Linked DNA regions of Oryctolagus cuniculus. The protein of the gene in region 1 interacts with the protein of each later gene in a biochemical or structural test. Links are inferred from orthologs where the notes say so. Each region holds a gene or a part of one and is shown on either strand. Other genes may lie near its edges. The genes, in order: GRK2, guanine nucleotide-binding protein G(q) subunit alpha and ADRB2.

Region 1 (7,524 bases):
GCTGAGGGGCCCTCAGTCCCCCAGGCTGCTCCCAGGCAGCCTGCGCACGCCTGCCCCGCGTGGTGTGGAAGCCAAGGCCAGCGGGCTCCAGGCCTGGCAGCGAGCAGGGCCTGTGGCTGCCGCCCAGGTGCTCCCCTGGGCCATTTCCAGGAAACCTGGCACCGAGGTGGCAGCTGGAGGAGGAAGTCCCCTGGGGCATCTTATTAATATTTTTCAATGACTCCCTGGGGCTGCCCGTGTCCTCAGAGTGCGAGGCTGGGGCCACGGACCAACCGGGGCAGAGCGAGGCGGCCACACGGTGCACAGGAGGGGACGCTACGTTGTCACGTATCACGGCTCCTTCGCGGATGTGACGCGAGCCCCAGCCCCTGCAGCTGACGGAACACACGGCCATCCCGCGGGCACATGCCGAGGACAAACTTCCGGAACTCCCTGCCCTGCCCTGCGCGGGGGTGGGGGACCCCGGCCCCAAGCCCAGGCCGGCTCCCCGAGTGGGCGCAGTGCACCCTGGCGCAGGCGAGGCTGCTGTGGCTACAGGAGAAAGCCGCACGCAAACGCCTCCTGTTTCGAACATGATCGAAACAGCGGCGCACATGGACCTGCCGGGGACCCGTCTGGGGCTGCCGGGGCGTCAGGGCAGGTGTGGCGGAGGGGGCTGCCCGCTCTGCCTGCTCCCCGAAGGCTGTCACGTGCCTGTTCGCCGCGAGGCAGCCGCCCCTGAGCGCCCAGCCCCTCCGCACGGCAGACCTGGGCGCAGGAGGCGACGCGGGCCGAGGCGCGTGCCTGCACCTGACGTCACTGGGAATTTACTACGACTGCATTAATAGGACACATCACTCCCGCCGACAGTGCACGCATTCCAGCCGGCAAGGCTCCCTTCCAACGGCAACTACGGGCGCCCCCTGCTCTGCAGAGAACAGAGGTGGGGGGCTCCGAAGGCCCAGAGGGGGTGCCTGCTGGAAAGATGATCTTGTTGGGGGGGGAGGCTGCGGCTGTCGCAGTGGAAAGTTCTGGGTGAGAGAGGACGCCTTGCCCGCCGCCTTCCCCCACAGACCGAGGCAGGAAGTTCTGGCTGCAAAGAGTTAACAGGAACGAAGCGGCAGCGGAGGAAGAGCTGGGTCTGGGGAGACCGAGCCACCGACCGGGAAGCCAGAAGGGGCAGGAAGGAGGCACCGCGGTGGGGGAGGGACCAGCGCGGCTGCGAGAGGCACCCAGCTCCGCCGGGAGGCCAGGCAGCGCGCCCCGGCCGGCCGGGAGCCTGGAGATTAACTGCACAAGGCCTCAGTGGGCACATTAGCAAACGACCGTAATTACACCTCTGCCGCCTGCCGCTGCCGGGAAAGGCGGCAGCTCTGAAGGGGCGAGACCCGGCCCCCAGACCCACGAGCTGAGAGGTCGCCAGACACCGAGCTGCCCCCTCGAGTTACTGAGAGGGAAACCGAGGCAGCCACGGCTGGGCCAGGACTGCCGGCTTCCCGCGAGGAAGAGGCCGGGAAACGGGTCTACTTCCTGGGATTCTACAGGTGACAGAAGGGGTGGCCCGTGCCAAGTCAGCACGGCACAGTGCCCAGGTGCCACCGGCCCCCGGCCCAGCTCCCGGCCAAGCCACAACCCAGCACCTGCCGCGAAGAGGCTACCAGGATGGCGCACCCCGGGGTGGGGACAGCTCCCGGACCGCGGCCTTGTGGAAGCGGGAAAGATGGAGCCCCAGTGGGGACTGGGCCTGCCTGTTACTCCCCAGCCCCTTCCGCACTGGGCAGGGCGGCAAGCAGAGGCGCCCAGGATGGGGTGGCCGGGCAGAGGCCCAGTTCTGGTCCCAGCTCTCCCCGGCGACCCAGACAAGGCCCCTCCCTCTCTGGGCCTCAGTGGCTTCAGGTGTTCAATGGGGAGCCTCCCGCCCACGGGCCGAGCAAAGCATCAGATGGACAGGCCGCACTTTGGAAGTGGGTGGCGCTGGGCAAACACGGGACACAGTCCCTGTCGTGGCCCAGGGCCGGAGCCCGGACCCCAGGCCGGCTGTGCCCGGGGCAGGCGGGGTGCTCTCCACCCTCCTGTCCAGCGGAAACCCGTGCACAGCCTGCCCCGTGCCCCCCCCAGGACGGGAGGCCACGCCGCAGTCCTCAGGCTCCTTGAGCCGCTCAGCCCTTCGCCGACGTGCCGGGTCAGCGTTCGGACCGAGACCAGCGCCAGCCGCAGGCGTCCGGGAGCACCCAGCACCTGCAGTGTCGGCTCCAGGCGGGCCCCCGCAGGAGCGGTGCATGCTGGGGAGATTAGCCAAATGCAGAACCTTCCAGAAAAGGCCCTGGTGCTCACGTCATGCCTGCAGGTGGGCCTCGAGGCCACAGCCCCCAAGGAGAGCTACCTGGGGCCACCGCGGAGGGCGACCCGTCTCCTCCCCGGGGGCTTTGTCATGTCTGTCCCTGTCGCTGCTCCCTGGTCAGCCCCGGCCGACGACGGTTGGTCTGGTTCCTGTTTTGAGAAATCTGATTGCAAATGTCTTAGGCGGCGCGGGGGAGGGAGGGTGCTAACGGCCTTTTTAAAACCAAGACCAATTTTCCTCTCCCAGGCCTGCTGTGCAGTCAATCTGAAACCCACGGAGCAGGGTGCGAGGAGGGGTGGCCGGCCAACACCGCAGGGCACCCCGGGCAGCTGGGGCTCGGCTGCCACACCTGCGCCCCGTGCCAGGGACCGCGGCCACGGCGCAGCCGCGACACTCGCTTTGCACCTTCCACATTTCACAAAGCCAGAAACGGGAAGGGACTTGCCCAGTGTCACATGACAAGGCCTTGTCCCCAGCCGCCGGGCACACAGGAGTCGTCGCCGGGATGGGGACCCTGGTGGCTGTACTGAACGCCGGCCCCCAGGTCCCAGCTCGGGCCAGCGCAGGGGGCAAAATGCAGAGAGAGCAGCCGGAATCCCTGGGCTGCTGGCCGGGTGCCACCCTGGGTGACCTGGGTGACACGGGGCGGGCCACCCACTCACGGGGCTCCGGCTTCTCCACCTGTTCCACCGGGCCTGGGCGGCTCGCTCGGTGGGAAAACACTGCCAGCCCTAAAGCGCTGGACGAGCCCCGGCCACCATTCCCACCCTGGGCACTTCTCCATCCACATCCTGGCCCTTTAAACTCTGCCACCAGGGGCAATGACATCACGGAGAGGTGGCAGCCGTGGTCCAGCTGCTGCAGGTGTGCTGGGCTGTCCCTGGGTCATCAGCACCCCCAGGGTCCCCAGGCAGGGCCCCCACAGGAGACACGCCGCGGGGGTCGGGGCACACACGTCGCCCCCACCCGAGAGCAGCCTGGGGGTGGGGGCGGTCGCTGCACGCGCCACGCCCGGCCGCCCCAGGACAGCGAGCCCACCCACCGGAGCGCGGGGCGAGAGCCCCAAGACCGCACGACCCCGGAACCTCGCACGGCGGGGGAGCGGGCTGGCAGTGCCGGAATCCCGAGGGGGCGCTGGGGGCAGGGGCGGCCGAGGAAGAGGAGGATGGCGCTGGGGGTGGGAGTCCCGGAGTGGGGCGCTCCGGCGCGCGGGGCGGGGGGCGCCGGGGTCACGCGGGCCGGCGCCCGGGCAGCGGGCCGCGCGGCCGCCTCACCTGGGCTCGGGCAGCAGGATCTTCTTGCTGGCGCGCGCCGCCGGCGTGGCCTTGCTCTTCTCCATGGCCATCAGGTAGCTCACGTCGGCCAGCACCGCCTCCAGGTCCGCCATCTTGGCGGCGGCGGCGCTGCCTCCTCCCGCCGCCGCCGCTCGCTCGGCTCGGCCCGGCCCGGCCGCGGCTCGCTCGGCCTCGGGCGCCGCCGCCGCCGCCGCCGCCGCCCGCCCGGCCCCGCTGGGCGCCCGCGGCTCCGCTGGCCGCGCTCACAGGCGGCGCCGCCCCATGGCCCCGGCTCGCGCTGCGCTCCCGCCGGGACTGCAGTCGGGGCGCCGCCGCCGCCGCCGCCGCCCGCGCCCCGGAGCCGCCGCCGCCGCCGCCTCCGGCCCCGCCTGCCGCGCACAGCGCCAGCGAGCCCGCGAGGGGCCGAGCCGGGCGGCCGGCGGCGCCCCCTGCAGGCCGCGCGGGCCACCCCGCGCCCACGCCCCGGCCGGACGTCGGCCGTGCGTCCCGGACCCTGGGCCTGGGCCGGCAGCCTCCAGTCGCGGCCCGGGATCCCACCCTCCAGAACCAGAGCTCGGCCGAGACCCCGGGCCAGGGCCGGGACTCCGCCCGAGACCCCCGAGCCGACTTCAGAACGGGATCCCAGACCCTGCTGTAACCCGGCACCTGATTCCAAAAAGGACCCCAGACTCGGCCACAGCCCTGGGGCCCCAAGCGCTGGCCCCAGGTGCCCAGCAGGACTCCCTAAGGAGGTTTGAGATCTTGGCCTTGGGACCTCCCCGGTTAGCAGCTCCAGGCCTGGACTTGGACCCGGGTTGGACTCAGAGCCCAGTCGGTCATCGAGCCACCAGGAAGGTGACCTCTGCCGTCACACCCCAGGCTCCTCCAGCACCCACCCCTGCCCCAGGGGCCGCTTTGGGATGATTGCACAACACGGGGCCAACTCTCCCATCCTGGGGGGGGTGGGGGCACAGGGTCTCAGTGTGCCTGGCAGCCCCCACAACTGGGAGCCACCCACAACGGGAAAGCCAGCGTCTCAAGGCACAGCCCCAGGCCTGACAGATCCCCTCTCTGGAGCCCCCGCCCCGGTTCCCACCCCAGCAGAGGGCACACTCAGCCCAGGTCCTCATGCCGGGTCCTGAACCAGAACCAGGAGCCCTCCGCGAAGCAGGGCCCCCACGCACTTCGGGGCCACCTTCCCGGGTCAGCACAAACGGCGAGGCCCCTGCTCCGCGGGGACTCTGCCGCCCACCCAGATACCCGTCAGACCCTCCGGTTTCTTTTCCTTGATCCCTCCCTCTCCCCTCCCCTAACCTCTCCTCACACCCTCCTGTCTGGCCCCCCCGAGAACCTTCTGGAACCTGTCCATTTCTCAGGATCTGCTGGGCCCACTCAGGACTGGGCCGCCTCTGCCCAAAGCACCACAGGACCAGACGCCCTGACCTGCAAGGGGGGTCCCTGCCCCTCTCAGCTTGTTCAGCCCCCACCCTCGGTGTCGGGTGTCCCCCACCCCCCACCCATCCCTTCTCACCCCCCGCGCCCCTGCTCAGCCTTGAGCCTGGAACCCTCTGGGTGCCTTCCTCCCTCACCAACTCCTGCTTGCCCTCTAATGCCACTTCCTCCAGGCAGCCTTCCTGGACTCCTGACCCCGGCTATGTCCATCTCTTCCTCTACACCGCCCACCCAGGAGAGCCTATTCCCTTGGTCGGGAAGCATCGTCTTGTTATGTTTTTATTTATGTATTTGAAAGGCAGAGCTACAGAGGGAGATGGAGAGACAGAGAATCTCCCTCTGCTGGTTCAATTCCCCAGATGGCCACAATAATGGAGGCTGGGCCAAGCGCAAACCAGGAGTCTGGAACTCGATTAGGGTCCCCCACGTGGGTGCAGGGGCCCAGGCACTTGGTCCATCTTCCGCTGCTTTCTCAGGTGCACTAGCAGGGAGCCGGATCGGAAGTGGAGCAGCCAGGACTCAAACGGGCGCCCCGCTAAGGGACGCTGGTGTTGCAAGCAGTGGCTTAACCGCTGTGCCAGCGCCAGCCCCGCGCCACACTTCTCAGGGTCCAGTGAGGCTTTCGGACCCATCGGTGTCCTGGAAATGCAGAGGCGTGGGGGGGACACCCACTGTCTCCCACGGTCACCAAGGCTCCTGGCTCAGCTCTTGCCACAGTGCCCACCAGGGGACCTGACGCAGAGGGCGTCCGTCGACAAGTGCCGGGAGACTGTATGAATGGGAGACTGAGCGGCCGGGCTCTCGCGGCGCATGGCATCTGGGGCCTCTGCCCACCGCCCTGCCCGCCTCTTCGCACTGAGTGCAGCCACAGGCTGGCCTGGATTTATCTGGGACAGCCTCTGCTTAAAAAATCCTGCCTGACGAACACGTCAGTCCAGGATCTGCATGTGGGTTCTGGAACACCCGCCGTCCTGCCCCCACCCATCTGCAGCCCCCGGCCAGGTCTGGAGCTGGGGTCCCTCCAGGGGCCTTCTCTCCAGGACACCCCTCCTTGGTTCCTGGGATCCGAGAAGGTGGTTTCTGGAAGCCCCAGGCTGTTGATGGAGGCCCTGGCTGGGGGGCTGGGGGGGGGGGCAGGAGGGCTGGTTTTGGGGACGGTGCTGCCCTCTGGTGGCCGTGGGAAGGCTGATTAAAAACGTGACCTTTTCGGGCCAGCTTCCCTCAGCAAACCTGTCTGGTGCCCAGATCCGCCGGGCTACAGCCAGGATGCCGGGAGCGCCCAGGGGAGGGGAACGCGTCCCGCCCAGCTGGCAGGCCCACACTGCTCCTTGGCATGTGTGCCGGTGACTAATGAGTGTTGCAAACTCCAGTGCGTCCCACACGGAGCTCCTGCTCCCACCAGCCAGCCCCGGGCCGAGCCGCTTCCCTCCAAGCTCGCCCTGACAGTCGCCCCAGGAGTCCTCCTGGGCCCCTCGCCCCCCACCTCCGCGCGTGCGCACACACACCTGCTGTCCGTGGTCTGGCGGCACCTGGTGAGTCTACCCTGAGTCCTCCCATTAAGCCCTGGCCTCCCGCCTGGGGGCCGGCACCAGCCCCTCCCAGAGCTTCCACAAGCCCAGCGGAAAGCCCCCTGCACTTAGGACAAAGCCCACCGCCTGCCTGTGGCCCTGAGTCTCCAGCCCCTCTGGTGTTCACTAGAACAAGGCAAGTCCATTCCTCCCTCTGGGTCACGTGCTTGCCCTCCCTTGGGCTGCAAGGGCTCAGCTTGCATGGTCACCGCTGCATCCCTCACCCCCCAGCAGGAGGCCTGGCCCAACGTCAGGGCTGCAAAGGCAGAGGGGGCAGCTCGCAGGGGCAGGTGCGCCTGAATGTGAGTGTGTGTGCCTGGGCGGGCGAGTGCTGCCCTCGCCTCTCCATCTCGGCCCTGGACTTTGGAGGCGCGGGAGGCGGGGCTTCGGGGCTCCCCTGGTTTCAGCAGGTGCCTGGCGGATAGGGGCGGAGGAGTTCCTGCCTAGGGCGGGGACCAACACCCCTGTCTCTGCTGCCGGGTGCCCAGGCAGTGCCAGGCTCCACACATTCGCCAATGTTTGCCAGGCACTGGGGCTTGGCCTTCGGGGACCCAACACAGGAAGAGACACAGTGAGCCCCCCGGGGGGCGCACCAGATGTGCTACCAGGGGAATGTCCACTGCGATCTCGCCGCGCGCTGGGCACTGCTCTCGGCGCTCCGTCGGTCCCCCCTGAAGTTTGCGGCCAGGGTGAGCCGCAGGAGCCCGGAGCCTCTGCAGGCGGTCAGCGAAATGCCAGAGCCAGGGCCAGGGGAAAGGAGGAGAGCGGCTGTGTGAGGGGCTGGGAGAACTTTCTGGGCGCGTGCCGCCGCAAGGGCTGAGGCCCGAGGAAGAAGTGGGTGCTTCCTGCTCAGCGCAAGCACCTTGGCTGGGTTTTTAGCCGGCGGGCCCCAGCTCACGGCCCTGCTAGG
Region 2 (7,494 bases), about 150 Mb from region 1:
GTATCAAAAAATGTTCCATCTGCAATCCCTAGAATTCTGTATTTACCCATTGTGGTTTTCCTCATGTAACATTGTTAAGTAAATCACAAAAATCTGTTTGGTCATCATCTGTTCTCAACAGAATATTAAAAATTCACTCTGCTAAGTGCATCATAGAGAAAAATGTCTGGCAAAAAGACAACAGGGTTAAACCACCCACTACATGATAAAAAGGTAATCAAGATGACAACAGGTTTTTTTCCTTTAAATTTTCACTTTGGGCAAGACTGTTCCATTCGCAGTGTACCCAGCACAGAACTGTAATATACAGGATCAACTATGTGATGCATTTGTAACCAACTGGCTCCAACAGCCACATACAATTTTCAAAAGATCATGATTTTATGTGCTGTAGATAAAAACATTACCTATCCCTCTGGCTCTTATAATTTATTCATTATTATCAGATCCCAACTTCTAGCAGGAGGGTCACAAATAAAATCTTTCATTCAGCAAATACTTTCTGAGGGCATTCTATGAGTTAGAACATGTACAACAAGCTGAGATTTAATAGTGAACCAAATAGACACAATCTCCATGCCTACAATCTTGCAGTGCAGAATAGGAATAAAATCTACAGCCATGCATGTAATTCAGTTCAGAAAACCAAGACCGCATTCATTTAACATTGACCTAAACTTTGCCTTCCTTCTCTCACTTCCTTCTCTGCCTCCCCTTCCTGCTCTCTCTTCTCTACCTCTCCCTCCCTCTCCCTCCCAAATTCGCAAAATCTTCCTATTTGATGATTATGATCTAAACAGAAAAGATGTCAAACATGCATAAAATAAGAGCAGGTTAAGAGGGGAAAAAGTGTATCTTCTAGGAATTGAAAACAATTTCACAATGAACATCTATAACCCAAGGCAAGCATTTGGGACAACTTGTTTTACAGACCTGAAGACAAATTAATATTAAATGGTGTGGCCCATGTACTACTGAAAGAAATATTTAGTGAATTCATGAATATTAATCAAAGCAAATATAATGTACTTTTCACCTAGAAAATACATAAAAACAGCAGTAAAGTTAAAACAGAGCATGCTTTTGTATGTCTATGTAGAATACAAAGTTTCCTTAGGTGTCAAAGAAAACAATCACTAAAGTAAATAAATTAAGAGAATAATTTTAAGAAAATATGAACTCAGAAATTAAGAAGATATTCTTAAGGTGGTAGATTTCAGGGTTCATTTTTAAAAAGATTAAAAATTAAAATATGCAAGTACTGCAGAATAAATTTGGAAGACATTACCATAATGGCTGGATATGAATCAAAACAGCACAAATTCTACTGCCACACTTCTGTGTCGTCAGCCAAACACTACTTTCCTTCTCTAATTCCTCCATATTATTAATATATATTAAATAGTTGTGTGAACAAATGCAAGGGTACACACATTTATCCCTACCACACAATTCCTTTAAATGCTGCCATGTCTTAAATTAAAATTTACTTTGAAAATAATTTTATCTTGCATTTCATTTACTATAAGGTTGATTCCTCCATTTAAGTAGGTAGTTTAAAATACCAGATCTTTAGACACTCTGAGAGAACACATTCTGTAACCCCCTCCCTCGGGGTAGGCTCTGTGTAAATGAAGGAAGGATCGGGAAAATTCAGGGTACTCATCAGAGCAGCACAGCAGAAATCCCTCTGCCGGAAGCCGCCCCGTTACCCTTCCCTGCTCAGCTCAGCCCTCGGCTCCCTCCTGGACTCACCCACCATTCACACACAGGCACACATCTACATTCAGCACCTATCTTTACCACGTGAGTAGTGTGGGCACTGCACTGGTTAAGTCACAAAAGCCACACGCCTAGAACATGAAGTAGGAATTCCTAACGATGTGTGAGGATCAAGCTTCTGTCAGAGAGATGCATTTTCAAATGGCACTCATGAATGTAGATGCTCAATTAATATCCTATTTTTCTACCACTTCTAATGGGCCATAGTATGGGGATGAGGTGGGCCATATGAAACCCTACTGAAATGTCTAATAAGAGCGAAGTCTCCACACCACCACCACGTAAGCTGTGAAACTGTACCTTACATTTTTCTTTCCTCAGAAAATGATCTCCCGGTTCATTCCATAAAAGCACAGCACAGGGCATGTAATTAAGCCTCTATGGAAGTGTTCTTCCCTCTTGGGCATTCAAACCCAGGCCCTCTGACAAAGCCCCTGTGCTAAGGCACAGCTGCTGGGAAACCCAGAGCTGTCATAGTTCAGGCCAACAGAGCTGACTGCAGAGACCTTAGACGCCCTGTTCACAGCTAAACAGAAACAAATAAAGGCAGTAAACAGGGCAAAAGGAAAAGAAAACCCAGCTCTTCAAACAAGTCTCTCTTCACCACATGTTTTCTCCCCTGAATTCTGTATTTAAACACCTTCCCTTGTTCTCTCCACTTTCTTCTCAATCCCGAGAATTCAGAAAATGTTCAACCTCCAAAATGAGAATAAAATTTAAAAAAAATATATTTTTTTAAAGAACCTCACTTTCCAAGCGCAGTGTTTCCCTCCCCCGGCTTCACGGCCTCAAGCCCACCTCTTCCCCCCAGCCCGCTGCCTTCTGTTCCTTTATGAACCTGTGTACATTTGTCTAACAGGGCTTCAGAAGGAAGACACACAGCCCGGCGAGCAGAGTAGCCATTCGTAAGTACGGGTGGCCCTGTTATTTTGTTCCTGTTTGCAAAGGATCCAGTGCACGAGCAGTTGAGTCCCCAAAGACAGTTGGTTCTCCAGCAGATGGAATGCTCAAGATAAGAGAGGGAATACAGGCTTCTGCCACCCGAACTGCCCAGACCACACTCTCTCCTGTCGGAGACGCGCATTTATTATGCACACACAAACACGCAGAACACAAGTGCAGACGTCCTCCAGGCCTCTGCCGACCACAATAGCTCCGGGTGCCCTCACGCTGGCTTGTCTGTGAACCCTGGTGGCCTGATTCCGAGCATTCTCTCGGAGGTAATCATCCATAGACGCCTATTCGAGAGACGGCATTCTCTTGCTAACTTCGCGTGAAAGCAGAACGCGGGGCTGTTGATTCAGAGACCAGAGGGAAATTTTCCTTTGCAGCCCTGATGCCCAAGACACTACAATGCTGTCCGTTTCAAACAAAAGGTTTCTCTCTTTCCCCCGGAGAGGGACGGAAAGGCTGCGGTACTGTTGTGAATTCAGGCCTAGATCTGGGATGCCTCATTAGACAAAAGATACCCGTCGCTGTCAACAACCACGCCAGCCACGCTCCCCTCGCCCCGGTCCTAATCCGGAAGGAATGGTGCAGCCGAGAAGCACGCCTGCCACCATCCACTGGCCAAGAAACTCTGCTGGGCCCCTCCTGTGGGTGGCCTGGTGGCTGCAGAAGAACACTCGGGTGACACACGGGGGCTTGCCCGCCCTCCCCGCCCCCACCCCACGAACCCCTGGCTGGGGAGGGTCGACCCCTGCTGGGCTTCTAGTTTTCACCCCTGGGGATCCCACTCGCCAGTCTGCCCACCGGTGGCTCCCCCACTTCTCCTGGACCCCAGAACGCACCGATAATGGATGCACAACGGCCACCTCACGGCGCGCCATCTCCCCCCCGCCCGCCCGCGCCCTGTGCCCCGGCTCGGCTCGCCACCCTCCGGGCGACATACACACACACACACACACACACACACACAGCTCCACCACCCCTGGGGGCGCGGCGGCCCCGGCGCTGCAAGTTCAAGCCCTCAGCCCACCTTCCCAGCCCCGCGCCCCTAGCCAGATCTGATCTGCCATTGAGCAGAGACACCGCAGAGAACGCAAGCCCCCCCCACAACAAGGGACACACAAGACAGCACGCGCCGAGGCACCCAACAAGGCAGCCCCGAACCCTCCGCGCGCACGGGCGTGTGTGTGCGCGCGCGCGCGTACCCGCGCGGGTGCGGGTGGAGGCCGGGGGCGCGCCCGGGGAGGGTAGGGGCGAGCCCGGGGGCTGGGGGCGGCTGCCCGGAGGGGCCGGAGGCGGGGGCTGGGGGCGCGCAGAGGCCCGGGGGAGGGCCCGCACGGCCGGCCCGGGCCGTACTCACCCAGTAGCAGCAGTTTGAGCTCCCGGCGGGCGTCCCGCTTGTCCCTGCGGAGCTGCCGCTCGATCTCGTCGTTGATCCGCCGGGCTTCCTTGGCCTCCTCGCTCAGGCAGCACGCCATGATGGACTCCAGAGTCATTCTTCCAAAGTGCCTCCGCTGCAGCCCCGCCGGCACCCCCTGCTCACACGCGCGCACACACACACCCTCCCGCCCTCGCTCCCCCGAGGCAGCGGTGGCCGCTGAGCCCCCGCCGCCTGGGCGCGCGTCCGGGATGAGATCGCGGAACCGCCGCGGGGGCGACGGCCAGGGCCGGGGCCACCAGGTGGGCCGGGGTCTAGGCGGGCGCAGGAGGCCTTCGCCGCCCGGCGGAGCGAGGCGGGCGCGGGAGGCGGCCGCGGGCGCTGGCTCGGGGGGCGCGCAAGGGAAGGCCGCCGCGCCCGGCCTCGCTCAGACGCCCGCGCCTCCTTCCCCGGGAACGGGCAGCCCGCCTCGCCCCCCGCGCCGCCGCCGAGGCTCCCCTACGGTTTGCGCCCGGCGGCGAGAGCACATCCACCGGGGCGCCCCCCTAGCGAGCGGCCGCCGACCGCTCCCCGCACCCGGCGCGCCCGCTCCTCGCCGCCGCCTGACACGGCTCCCGGGCGCCCGCGGCCCTGCCCGCGCCCACCGCCCGGCTAAGCGCGCAAACCCCGCTCGCCGGCCCGGCCCGCCGCGCGCTCCTCCGCCTCCGCCTCCGCCTCCGCCTCCGCCAAACGCCCACCCCCGGCCCCGATTGCCAGGCGCGGAGCGGCTGCTCAGTGATCGCCCTCCCCCTCGCCACACACACACATTTTCTTCTTTCTCTGAACTGGAGCACAGATCCGGGAGGGAGGCGGCGGCGGCGGCGGCAGCGGCGGCGGCGGGAGGAGGCGGAGGAGGAGGAGGGGCAGGAGGCGGAGGCGGAGGGACGGGCGCGGGAGGCGGAGCCGCCCGGCCCCTCTTGGAAGGCTCTCCCTGGGCTCGCAGCCGCGCGCCGCGCCGCCCAGTGCGGCTCTCGCCTCGCTCGCGCAGCTCCCTGACTGGGCCGGCCCCCTCAGGCTCCGCGGGCGCCGCCCTCTCCCGCGCCCTCCGTGGAGGCCGGCGGGCTCCGGCGGACGCAGCCGCCCTCGGCTAGGGGCAGGGCCCGCTGACAGCCGCTCGGGTTGAGCGGGCGGCTGCGACCGCGGGCCGGAACCCCGGCAACCTGCGGCCGCCCGGGCGTGGTGGAGCGGGAATATGGCGGCCTCCGCCTGCCTCTCAGCCCACCAGCCCCGGAGCGCCGCCTCGGCCCCGCCTGGAAGCCGCGGGAGTCGGCCCCGAGCCCATGCACCGGCTGGCGCCGGAGACCCCCTGCCCGGCTCCCCGCTGGCAGCGCCGGAGACCCCCTGCCCGGCTCCGCGAGGCCGCTGTGCGGTGGCCTCTGTCTTTTCCCGAGGTTATTCCTCAAACGCCATTCGGTTAGAAGCTGCCTCTCGTCACTACTGACCCCAGTTGAATCTTAGAAAATACGATTCTCTCCGGGTGGGCTGTGGCCGGAGAGGAGTGGTCACTGCCTCCCCGAGGGGTAGGGGGCGAGGACCCTGCAATTCACTTGAGATAGAAATCTGAGCAGAAAAATGAAGCTGCCCAAGTTGCCGGGAGCTTCCTGGCAGGCTCCAACTTTTCATGCTGTTGAGGTGATTTTGGTTTTGGTTTTCTGTTGTTCTTGTTTCCGTTTTACAGATGCTCCTCGTTTTTGAAAAGGCACGCGATGTTTTCACAGCCAAGTCACCGAATGTACCCTGCTCCACCGAGATGGAACTTATGGGTGGCTTCTGGGAGCATGTAAATCCGTGCGGGATGAAAGAAAAGAATAAAAAATTTTAAATGGGAAAATCAAGATTTGTTTCTAGGTTTTTTTTTTTCTTATTTTTCCTTTTCCACTTCCGGTTAAGTTTATGTAAAAGTGTTGCGTATGTGTTTCGTGGTGATCTTCCCGATAAGTAACAACAAGAAGTTTGCTCCTTCAGGCTTGATTTGGCCTGAAAGCTGCAAAAAGCCAAGCTCTTCCGCCTCCAGCCTTGATGGAAACCGAGGTCTTCAGGGTAAATGGTGTTTTCTGAAGAGAATCGCTGTTCCACGTTTGCTGGGAGATGCTCCTGGTGCCACGGCTGTGCTACTGCTGCAGGCCAGGAATGCACCCTGGGTTCATGGACACCAGGTGTGCGACTTCCTTCCTTCATTTATCATTTCCTCCAGCCCTTCACACACACTCCAAGCCAGCACTTAGATTAAGCAAGCCATCAAAACATAAAATCTATATTTTTTAAAAGGATTTTTGGCCAAGGAAAATGATTGAGTTTCACCTTGGCCAGGAGAGTAGAATGAGCAAATTTATACGAATGACTACAAAGAACCACTACACTTGCTATGGAATGAAAATTTAAATATCAGTGACAAAAGAAATGAAAAGAATGGCATTCAATATGCAGTGATGTAAAATGGCTTCACGGGAAAACCTGATATGGTTGTATCCTGTAATACATGGATATATGTGAGTAGGAGAAATACAAAACACTGGAAACCAAATAGCTCTCTTGAGCTTCAAATTGGGTTTCCTAGCCTAGTGTCCTCTGAGACTTGAAAATGTCTTTCAAAGTGTGCCAGAAAACTATCAGAAGACTATCAGTACATTTGACCTATTGCTTGATGAAAGAAATTAAACTGCTTCAACAGATCTCAGATATAAACTTTTGTCATCCCCTATTCTCAGCATCAGAGACATACCCTGGCTGGCTGTTACTAGATATATGAATTGTCATGACAAGTATTAGGAACAAATCAAGAAGTGAGGAAAACCAAAACTCTAGTGATAAAACAATGTCTAGGTGTCAAGAAGGAAGCAGGAAAAGAAAGTCCTAATCTGAATGCAGATGAATCCAAAAATTCTTTGATATTATCTGGAAAGCATGTGCCTAGCAAATATTCCTACAACCAAAATCAAACAATCCATGCAGAAATTACTGATGTTGACTCTGTCCTAGAAGCGTTAGGGAACTAAACATGGATCCTATTACAAAATTCCAGGTTTTTAATCAACAAGCATTTACTCATTACCTACCCTGTATCAGTAACTAGTGGTGAAGGTCCAAGAAGACACGCCTACTAAGATAAGATATGGTCTTTACCCTCAGTAGGCTTAATAGTCTAAAGGAATAATGAGCCTCTGAACAGCCAAAATGAAACACAAAGTGAAGTCAGGTTGTATTAAAGTTGTGATAGAAGTCACAATGTAAAGAAAGAAAAAGGAAGGAATAATTCCTTCTGTCCTCCCAGGAAAGGGGACGTTTGTACTTTAAAGAACAAGTAGATTTTCCAGAAATACATATCACATAAAAGCAAATTAGCAATA
Region 3 (7,784 bases), on another chromosome or scaffold:
ATTCTCCCATGAAAAGATGAAGCAAAGACACAGAGAAGCAAAGGAGGCACTGCAGTGATTGGGTCCTGTCCAGGACCCCAGCAACCCTCAGTCACATGCTGTGAAGGGAACATTCCTCCCTGCCCTGACCCGCAGCGTTCTCCCCTTCTCTCAACAAGGTATTGCATTTCCAGTCCTTACACTTGTCCTGGCACACAGCAGAGGCTGCCTCATGCTGCTTCCTGGTGTGCACGGGGGCATGGCTCCGTGGACACTGGGATCACATTGATGTGTGTGCTAGACCTGACTCTGCAACGAGCCGAGTTGAGTCGTGTGGCTTCGGCGAGTTATTTAATCTTTCGGAATCTCGGTTCCGTCATTTGTTAGATGAGGACAATTATGCTGCCTACATCATAACCTTGTGAAGATGACATAATGCCTAACAGGTGCCTAGCGCAGTCCTTACCATTTCATAAGATTCCATAAAAGGCGTCTGTTTAGTGTTATTAAGGTTATATTCCATATAAACAACTTGTTCATGCTGCATGCAGCAAATACTTAATAAATCTGAAGGTACTTTAAACAGTGCATGGAAAATGGAATTGAAAGATAAGTTTATATGAGTGCCAAAAAAATTGAAACTCATGCACAGTCATACCCCGAATTGATTCTGGCTTAGGCTGTGTTTGGTGGTGGGTTCAGAATCGGAAAACTTTTAAGCACCTTGGAAGAGCAGTCCCTGCTCCCAAACTCTCTATCCCCCAGATTCCTTCCTCTAGTAATTATCTCAGCGGGAGGCCCACGCTGTCCTTCCATGGTTCACACCTGTCAGCTTGCATCTCAGGATAAAGTTCTCATTTGACAGACTCTGAGAACTTGCTGTCCAGGCAAAGAAAACTCTGGTGATGAATCCAACACAAACCTTATGTAACCAGCACGTCGGCAAACAGAGGGACAGAGAGACGCAGGGAAACAAAGCCACACAAAAGGAGAGGAAAGCCAGGGATTGAGATATGCCCAGAACGCCAAGGTCCCTGAAGTTCATCAAAGTTCTTGTATTTATCGTGCGCCTAACGGACTAAAAGAACGCTGTACTTTTAAATCAAATGATGTTGATGCTCCTTTATCCAAAGAACAGACGTATTATTGACACAGTTTACTGGTAATACTTATGAATACTTTATACTTATATATAGTGACATAGGACTTACACATGATGTCAGACTGGTTTGCAACTCTGTGTTTGAAATAAGACCTGGGAAACTTCTACCTGGGATAAAGTCTGGAATTCCTGACAGATCACAAAGAGTTAAGGAATCTCCTGGCTTCCTTGAATGCGGAGAATGTCCTAGTGGATTCTTGGAGTGAAATGAACAGTTCTTTCCCTCGTCCCTCTTGCAGATTACTTATTTATTCCCCGAATTTTGTGTTAACGACTCAAAGGAAATAAAAACATCTGCTGAAATGAAGTTGTTATATTACAGCCCAGGACAAGCTTCCGCAGCTGAGGGTAAGGACAGAACCCAGTGACAGTGCGGCTGCCAGGGGACCACAGCTCGTGGCAGGGCAGTCTGGCTAGCTGCTCTGCCATCCTGGCTGCTTACCTTGGGCAGGTCATTCCCTGGCTTGTGGTCTTTTCAGGTCTCTTTTCTATTGCCCCTGTGAGGTTACAGAAGCATGCAGATAGCAGGAGAAGCCCAGGGCAGGACAGCATGAGAACAGGTATGAGAACGCTAGGAGAAAGTAAAAATGCTAAAGGCACATGCTCTCCGATTCCAGAGACACTCCTGGCACTCTCCCGGGAGCTCAGTGCTTGCCCAGATACCCCCTCAGCGAGCTGACAGGAAGCAGTGAAGGCCAGTGCTTTTCTGGTTGGGGACCTTGGCTGGGACAGAAGGGAAGAGAGAAGTTGAGTCAGCCACATGAGCCAGTGAAATGGCAATGACCCCTGTATGCAGATCCTCCACAGCCTGGCGTTGCCAAGGAGGGCGATCCACTCCATCAAACCTGGGCCAAGCTCTGGCTCAGAACACACAGGCAAAAATAGAAAGGGGCTGCGAGAAGAAATGTGTTTACTTTTGTGATTCCACCCCCTGCACCTCTTAACAGTAGTATAATCTCTCTAGAAACAGAAAGTAACGGCCCACAGGCCTCGCCTCCATTGATAAACCCTCCCAAACAACCCATATACAGACTGAAAGCCTTCTTCAAGTCTCCTGGTCACTTTCTGGGCAGCTGGAGAGCAGGTTCACAGGGATAGCAGCACACAGGGAGAGTGTACTGGCCTGGGGTCTGTCTCTAAAAGGCCCCTCTCTGTGGCTCTGCAAGATAAAGCGTTTGCACAAAGCGGAATCCAAATACGCATTTAGATTTTAAAGTTTGCCTCCACGGCTCTCTCCCAGGTCTGATATTGTCCTTCAACAGGTATTCGAAAGTGCTGGAGATTTTTTTTTTTTTTTTGTCATGACTCGGAGGTGCTATTGGCATCGCATGGGCAGAAGCTAGGGATATTGCTCCACATTCAGTGATGCATGGCATAATCCCACAACGGGCACTCTCAAGGCTGATAATGCTGAGGGTGCCGAGGAGAGCCAGTGGGAGAGGGAAGAAGAGGCAAAAGTAAAGAAGAAGGGTTAAAACCCTGTTTCTAGGCCGTTAAGTAGTCATCAGTCACGTGCTTTCCAGCTTCTCTCCCTAGGACCAGTGTCATTTTATTTTCCCTTGGAATCACGTTTGGGTTGCTTTCTCGCAAGAACATCTTCCTTATCCTTAAAATGCAAAGCCCTGATGCAATACAAAGAGCTCTACTAGAAGATACAGCTGAGATATTAAAAAAAAGAGTTCTTAAATGAGTAGAACTGGGAGGTGGGGGCGGGGGGGGGGCGGTGAGGTGGCAGGTAAAGGGACAAACTGTATGCCCAGAGCTCTGTTTCTGTGAGTCAGTGTTTCTGAGGTCACAGAACAGAATAACACCCGAGGGCAGACTGAGCTATGCTGAGAACAGGCAGAACCGATGTGGGTCACAAGGGTTAGGAGAGATACAGGTTTGCCACAGCAGAGTCAGAGGCGAACGAAAGGGTTAAGCAATCAGTGCGTGTCATTCTTGTATCATTCCACATTAAGCCGCCAGGCAGTTATGACAAATAGTTACCTGCGGTTTCCAGTGGGAGAGGCAAGGACACTCCAGTCAAGGGGCTTTGGAGAAACAGGTGCAATGAAGTCATGGTCAAACAATTTATTTACTGTAAACTTTAGACTTTGCTCAGGAAAACAAGTGAAGCTGCCCCCTCGAATCCCTGCCTACAACACCCGGTCCGAGCAAACAGGAGGAGCTGGGAAGAGTCCACGTTCACAGCTGAGAGGTCCGGGATACTCAAGATCCTCAAGTCCAAGGGTGCAGGAAGGAAAAATCTCCTTCAGGTACAAATTACCAGCAGCAATATATTACCCCTAATACTTGACCACTGAGGTAGATACACGGAGAAGTCATCAAAACGTAGCAGACCCAGGTCCTCTAGGACTCAAGCCCTTCGGACATAAACTTAGGTGTTCCATGCAAAAGAGGAACTGAACTGTACAAGAAACAAATAATCACTCAAATACATCTTCTCTCTTTTTTTTTTTTTTACAGGTTAAAAAAGATTAAAAAAAAAGGCAGAAGGCTGCCTTCCTTCTGCGTCTCTCTATACAGTTTTATTCTAAATGTGTTACACTCAAGTTAAATAGTCTGTTTAGTGTTCTGTTGGGGGAGGGGTCCTTAAAAAGTAGAAAAACTGCATTACAGCAGTGAGTCATTTGTCCTACAGTTCCTGCCGGGGGGATCAATGCTATCGTTAGGCACGGTACCTTGACAGTTCACAAAGTCTTCCATGCCCGGGGGGTCCTCACACAGCAGCTCGCTTTCTTTCTCTTGCTCCAGGTGATAGCTACTCTGCTCCCCTGTGTACTCAGTTTTGCCAGTGCTGTTGCTGGAGTAGCCATTCCCGTAGGCCTTCAAAGAAGACCTGCGCAAGCACAGAAGCTCCTGGAAGGCAATCCTGAAGTCTGGGCTCCGGCAGTAGATGAGCGGGTTGAAAGCAGAGTTGACATAGCCCACCCAGTTGAGGAGGATGTAAACTTCCTTCGGGATGAGGTTGTCCTGGATCACGTGCACGATGTTGACGATGAAGAAGGGCAGCCAGCAGAGGGTGAATGTGCCCATGATGATGCCTAACGTCTTGAGGGCTTTGTGTTCCTTCAAGCAGAACTTGGAGGACCTGCGAAGTCCATGTCCATGCCCGCTTCGCCCATCCTGCTCCACCTGGCTGAGGTTTTGGGCATGGAACCGGCCCTCTGATTTGTCAATCTTCTGGAGCTGCTTTTTGGCCACCTGGAAGACCCTGGAGTAGACGAAGACCATGACCACCAGGGGCAAGTAGAACGACACGATGGAGGAGGCAATGGCATAGGCTTGGTTCGTGAAGAAGTCACAGCAGGTCTCCTTGGCGTAGCAGTTGATGGCTTCCTGATGGGTGGCCCTGTACCAGTGCATCTGGATGGGCAGAAAGGAGGTAAGGCCCGACACGATCCACACCATCAGAATGACCACGCGCGCCTTATTCTTGGTCAGCAGGCTTTGGTACTTGAAGGGTGAGGTGATGGCGAAATAGCGATCCACTGCGATCACGCACAGGGTCTCAATGCTGGCAGTGACGCACAGCACATCAATGGAAGTCCAAAACTCGCACCAGAAGTTACCAAAAGTCCACATTTTCATGAGAATGTGGCTCGCCCCAAAGGGTACCACCGCTAAACCCATAACCAGGTCAGCACACGCCAGTGAGGTGATGAAGTAATTTGTGACCGTCTGTAGACGTTCAAACTTGGCAATGGCTGTGATAACCAGAACGTTGCCAAACACGATGGCCAGAACAATCAGAGACATGACGATGGCCAGACCCACCACCCACGCCTCGTCTGTTTCCTGCGAGATGTCGTGGTCCGGCGCGTGACTTCCATTGGGCGCTAGCAAGAAATCGCTGCCGTTCCCGGGTTGCCCCATGGCTCGCAGGCGGGCAGGTGAGCGCCCGGGGGCGGCTGGCGGCACAGTGGCCCCGCCTCAGCGTGCGCACCTCCGGAGGGGCGCTGCGGACCGCGAGCGGACTCCTGGAAGCTTCATTCAGCGGCCGTAGTTGGATGCGGAGGGTCGCGTGGGTCACGTCCGGCGCACTCGGCTTGTGGGTTGCTCTGAGCCCTCCGTGCCCGCCAGCTCCAGCCTGCACTTCAGAGAAGCCGCCTCAGAGTGCGTTCTGCCCGTTATGTGCTCAGGACTTCGGGGCCACTGCCTCCCAGTGACGTGAGGCAACTTTCGGCCAATGGCGTGCCCGCAGCCCCGAAGGGGCGAGGCACCTCTCCCCTTCGCTTCCCTCCCCTTGCCCGCCCTCTCCTGGGGCTGGCCCGGGTGGCAGGCGGGCCACCACTCCCGGGCTGGCTCCTGAGTGCTAAAGCGGGGGCTGCGGGCTCAGCAGCGAACCAGCGAACTGAGCTCCTCTCCCTCCGGCTGCTACCTGTCTGCCCTGGGCGCTTGTGCGCATAATGGCGCTCGCGACATTTGGAAACAGGGACCAGAGTGCCATCAGAACTTGTACATACAAGCACGATGCACCCCTACGGACATGCTCAGACTTATCTGGAACTCAGGGAGACACGACACACCCACCCAGCGCACCAACATGCCTCTCGCGCGCGCTCACACACCCACCCAGCGCACCAACAAGCCTCGCGCGCGCTCACACGCAACCCACAAGCACTGTTGCCGGCAGTCACGGCTCACACGCGGTCAGAGTCAGACATAGAAGCAGCCAAGGGCACAAAGGCACGGACAGGCACACGGAAAGAAGTAAACACACTCTACGCACATAGAGGTGCGTGCGCGCTGGGACTTGGGAGCGCACAGAGCCACAGAGGCACGCGACCCTGTGCGGGTACCCACAGCTCTTCTGGCTCAAGCCCTCAATTGCCACACACCCCCGTGCTCCACCTCTCCCCACCCCGTCACCCTTTCAAACATTTGGCAAGATCACAGGAGATGACTTAAACAGCTGCCGATTCCCTCAGCACGGTCCCTGTCAGTTACTTTGAATGCTCTCCTCGGGAAGGCGGAGAGTTGGGAAGGTTTTACTCTGCGTTTCACTGCAGCTTGGCTGTGTATGGACCTAGCTTGTGATGGCGAAGAAAGTTGCGTGGTTTTGTTGCTGATTGTTGAGAGTGTAGCAGCCCCCCTTCTGTCATCTGTTGGAATGGAGATGCACTGAAAATGAAACAGATTTCCTTTCAAACGTAATGTCTTTGATAACCCCATGGCAACTGCAGAAAAAGCAATCTTTTCAGAGGCTAGATAATTTGTATCTGTTGGATTGAACCATATGAAGTTGCCTTGGTTGGTTGCCTCTGATTTACAAGAATGGACATTTCATACAGTTTGTAACATTATGACTGTACTAACTTTAAGAATGTTTTGAAACTGTGGAAAGATGATTTTTCCAAAAAAAAAGTCAAACCAAGCCTTGAAACTAAATGTCTTTGTTCATGAAATATTACCCTTTGCATCTGGCATATGACTTTAATGTTAAAAAGAAATTTGATTTTCAGGGTTTGGTTTCATATGTACCAGTGAGGTCTTTGAACAACTGAAAGTGCTTTGTGCAGCCTAACCAAACATATTTTGTAGGTTACATAATACTGTAACAATGGCCAACATTTATAGGACGTTCTGCTATGTGCTTTTCATGCATTATTCCATGTAATCCTTCCACAGTCCCATGGGACAGGGTGTGTGGTGTGTGTGTGTGTGTGTGTGTGTGTGACTATTTTTAGCTTAATTCACAAATGGGGCTCTAAGAGGAAAATAGGTTGCCTGGGGGCTATGATGAAGCAGTGCCAGAAGTTGGATTTGAACCCAAGTCTACCGGACTTTAAGGCCTTTCTTTTAATCTTGTCAATGTGCCCTCGTATTACAGTCAGAGCAGAGTGGAGGCGACGGAAGAGGCACCATAACTGGAGCCGAGCACCCAGGCTCCACAGTCATCTAATGTGGAACTTTCTAGTGTACTTTCCTTAGGCAAATCATAAAGAAGAAACCTGATTTCTTCCATCTTTAAGGGAGGAATATAGTCACTTCCCCTGGAATGAGAATTAGTGATCCAATATATTGCACATATAAATGTCATACTCATATGGGCAGTCAGCAAAGTTTATACAAATTACTTAGTCATTTAGAATGTGTTGCTAGTATCGTCTGCCAGAACAAGACACTGCTTTAGGACAAAACCAAGTTTTGTCTTTACTCCAGAAGAAAAACTCTGCAACAAAATATAACCCACGTGTCCTTTTAACCTCCTTCAGCAGGAGAAATTGTCTTTTTGCAAGACAGATGCCTTTAAGAGCAAATATTTCCCTTATAATCCACGAATATTAATTAAGGTTCCATTATGTTCACCTGGTTTGCAAAGTATAGACGCCCTATGTTTGTATTTTCCAAAATCGGCTCTGGTGTGATGCATTTTAGGAAGAGGCAGTGTCTGTTATGCAACAGTGCTTCTTTAAATACATGGCCACCATGAATGGTCCTTCCTGTTTGTGAAGTTATGGAATAAGTAAGCAAATTGTTTAAGCTTCCCATGGCCAATAGAGAACAAAGAAAACCTCTTTAGGATAAACATTAATTGATCCTTTGTTTACATAAGTTCAAGTCACCTACAAATTCGAATATTTTGGGAAACATCTTTATAAAAGCACGCGCGAAAATTCTGGACTTAAGCCTACCA

Evidence for each region.
Region 2: the proteins of GRK2 (region 1) and guanine nucleotide-binding protein G(q) subunit alpha form a complex in vitro, tested with the Homo sapiens proteins (3 studies listed by BioGRID). The link is inferred for Oryctolagus cuniculus from reciprocal best matches to the Homo sapiens genes GRK2 and GNAQ.
Region 3: the proteins of GRK2 (region 1) and ADRB2 form a complex in vitro, tested with the Homo sapiens proteins (2 studies listed by BioGRID, with this or other methods). The link is inferred for Oryctolagus cuniculus from reciprocal best matches to the Homo sapiens genes GRK2 and ADRB2.

What each region holds. Positions count from the first base shown.
Region 1 is NC_091432.1:4,747,766-4,755,289, forward strand, and holds the start of GRK2 (beta-adrenergic receptor kinase 1), read right to left. Parts: upstream 3,947-7,524; 5' UTR 3,708-3,946; coding exon 3,595-3,707; intron 1-3,594. UniProt on the Homo sapiens protein: Specifically phosphorylates the agonist-occupied form of the beta-adrenergic and closely related receptors, probably inducing a desensitization of them. Key regulator of LPAR1 signaling.
Region 2 is NC_091432.1:152,215,161-152,222,654, reverse strand, and holds the start of guanine nucleotide-binding protein G(q) subunit alpha, read right to left. Parts: upstream 4,418-7,494; 5' UTR 4,227-4,417; coding exon 4,091-4,226; intron 1-4,090. Other genes in the region: uncharacterized protein, read left to right, coding at 5,340-5,560, 5,826-5,931.
Region 3 is NC_091437.1:36,222,753-36,230,536, reverse strand, and holds the start of ADRB2 (beta-2 adrenergic receptor), read right to left. Parts: upstream 5,259-7,784; 5' UTR 5,021-5,258; coding exon 3,826-5,020; intron 3,175-3,825; coding exon 3,167-3,174; 3' UTR 3,131-3,166; exon of another isoform or gene 1-3,130. UniProt on the Homo sapiens protein: Beta-adrenergic receptors mediate the catecholamine-induced activation of adenylate cyclase through the action of G proteins. The beta-2-adrenergic receptor binds epinephrine with an approximately 30-fold greater affinity than it does norepinephrine.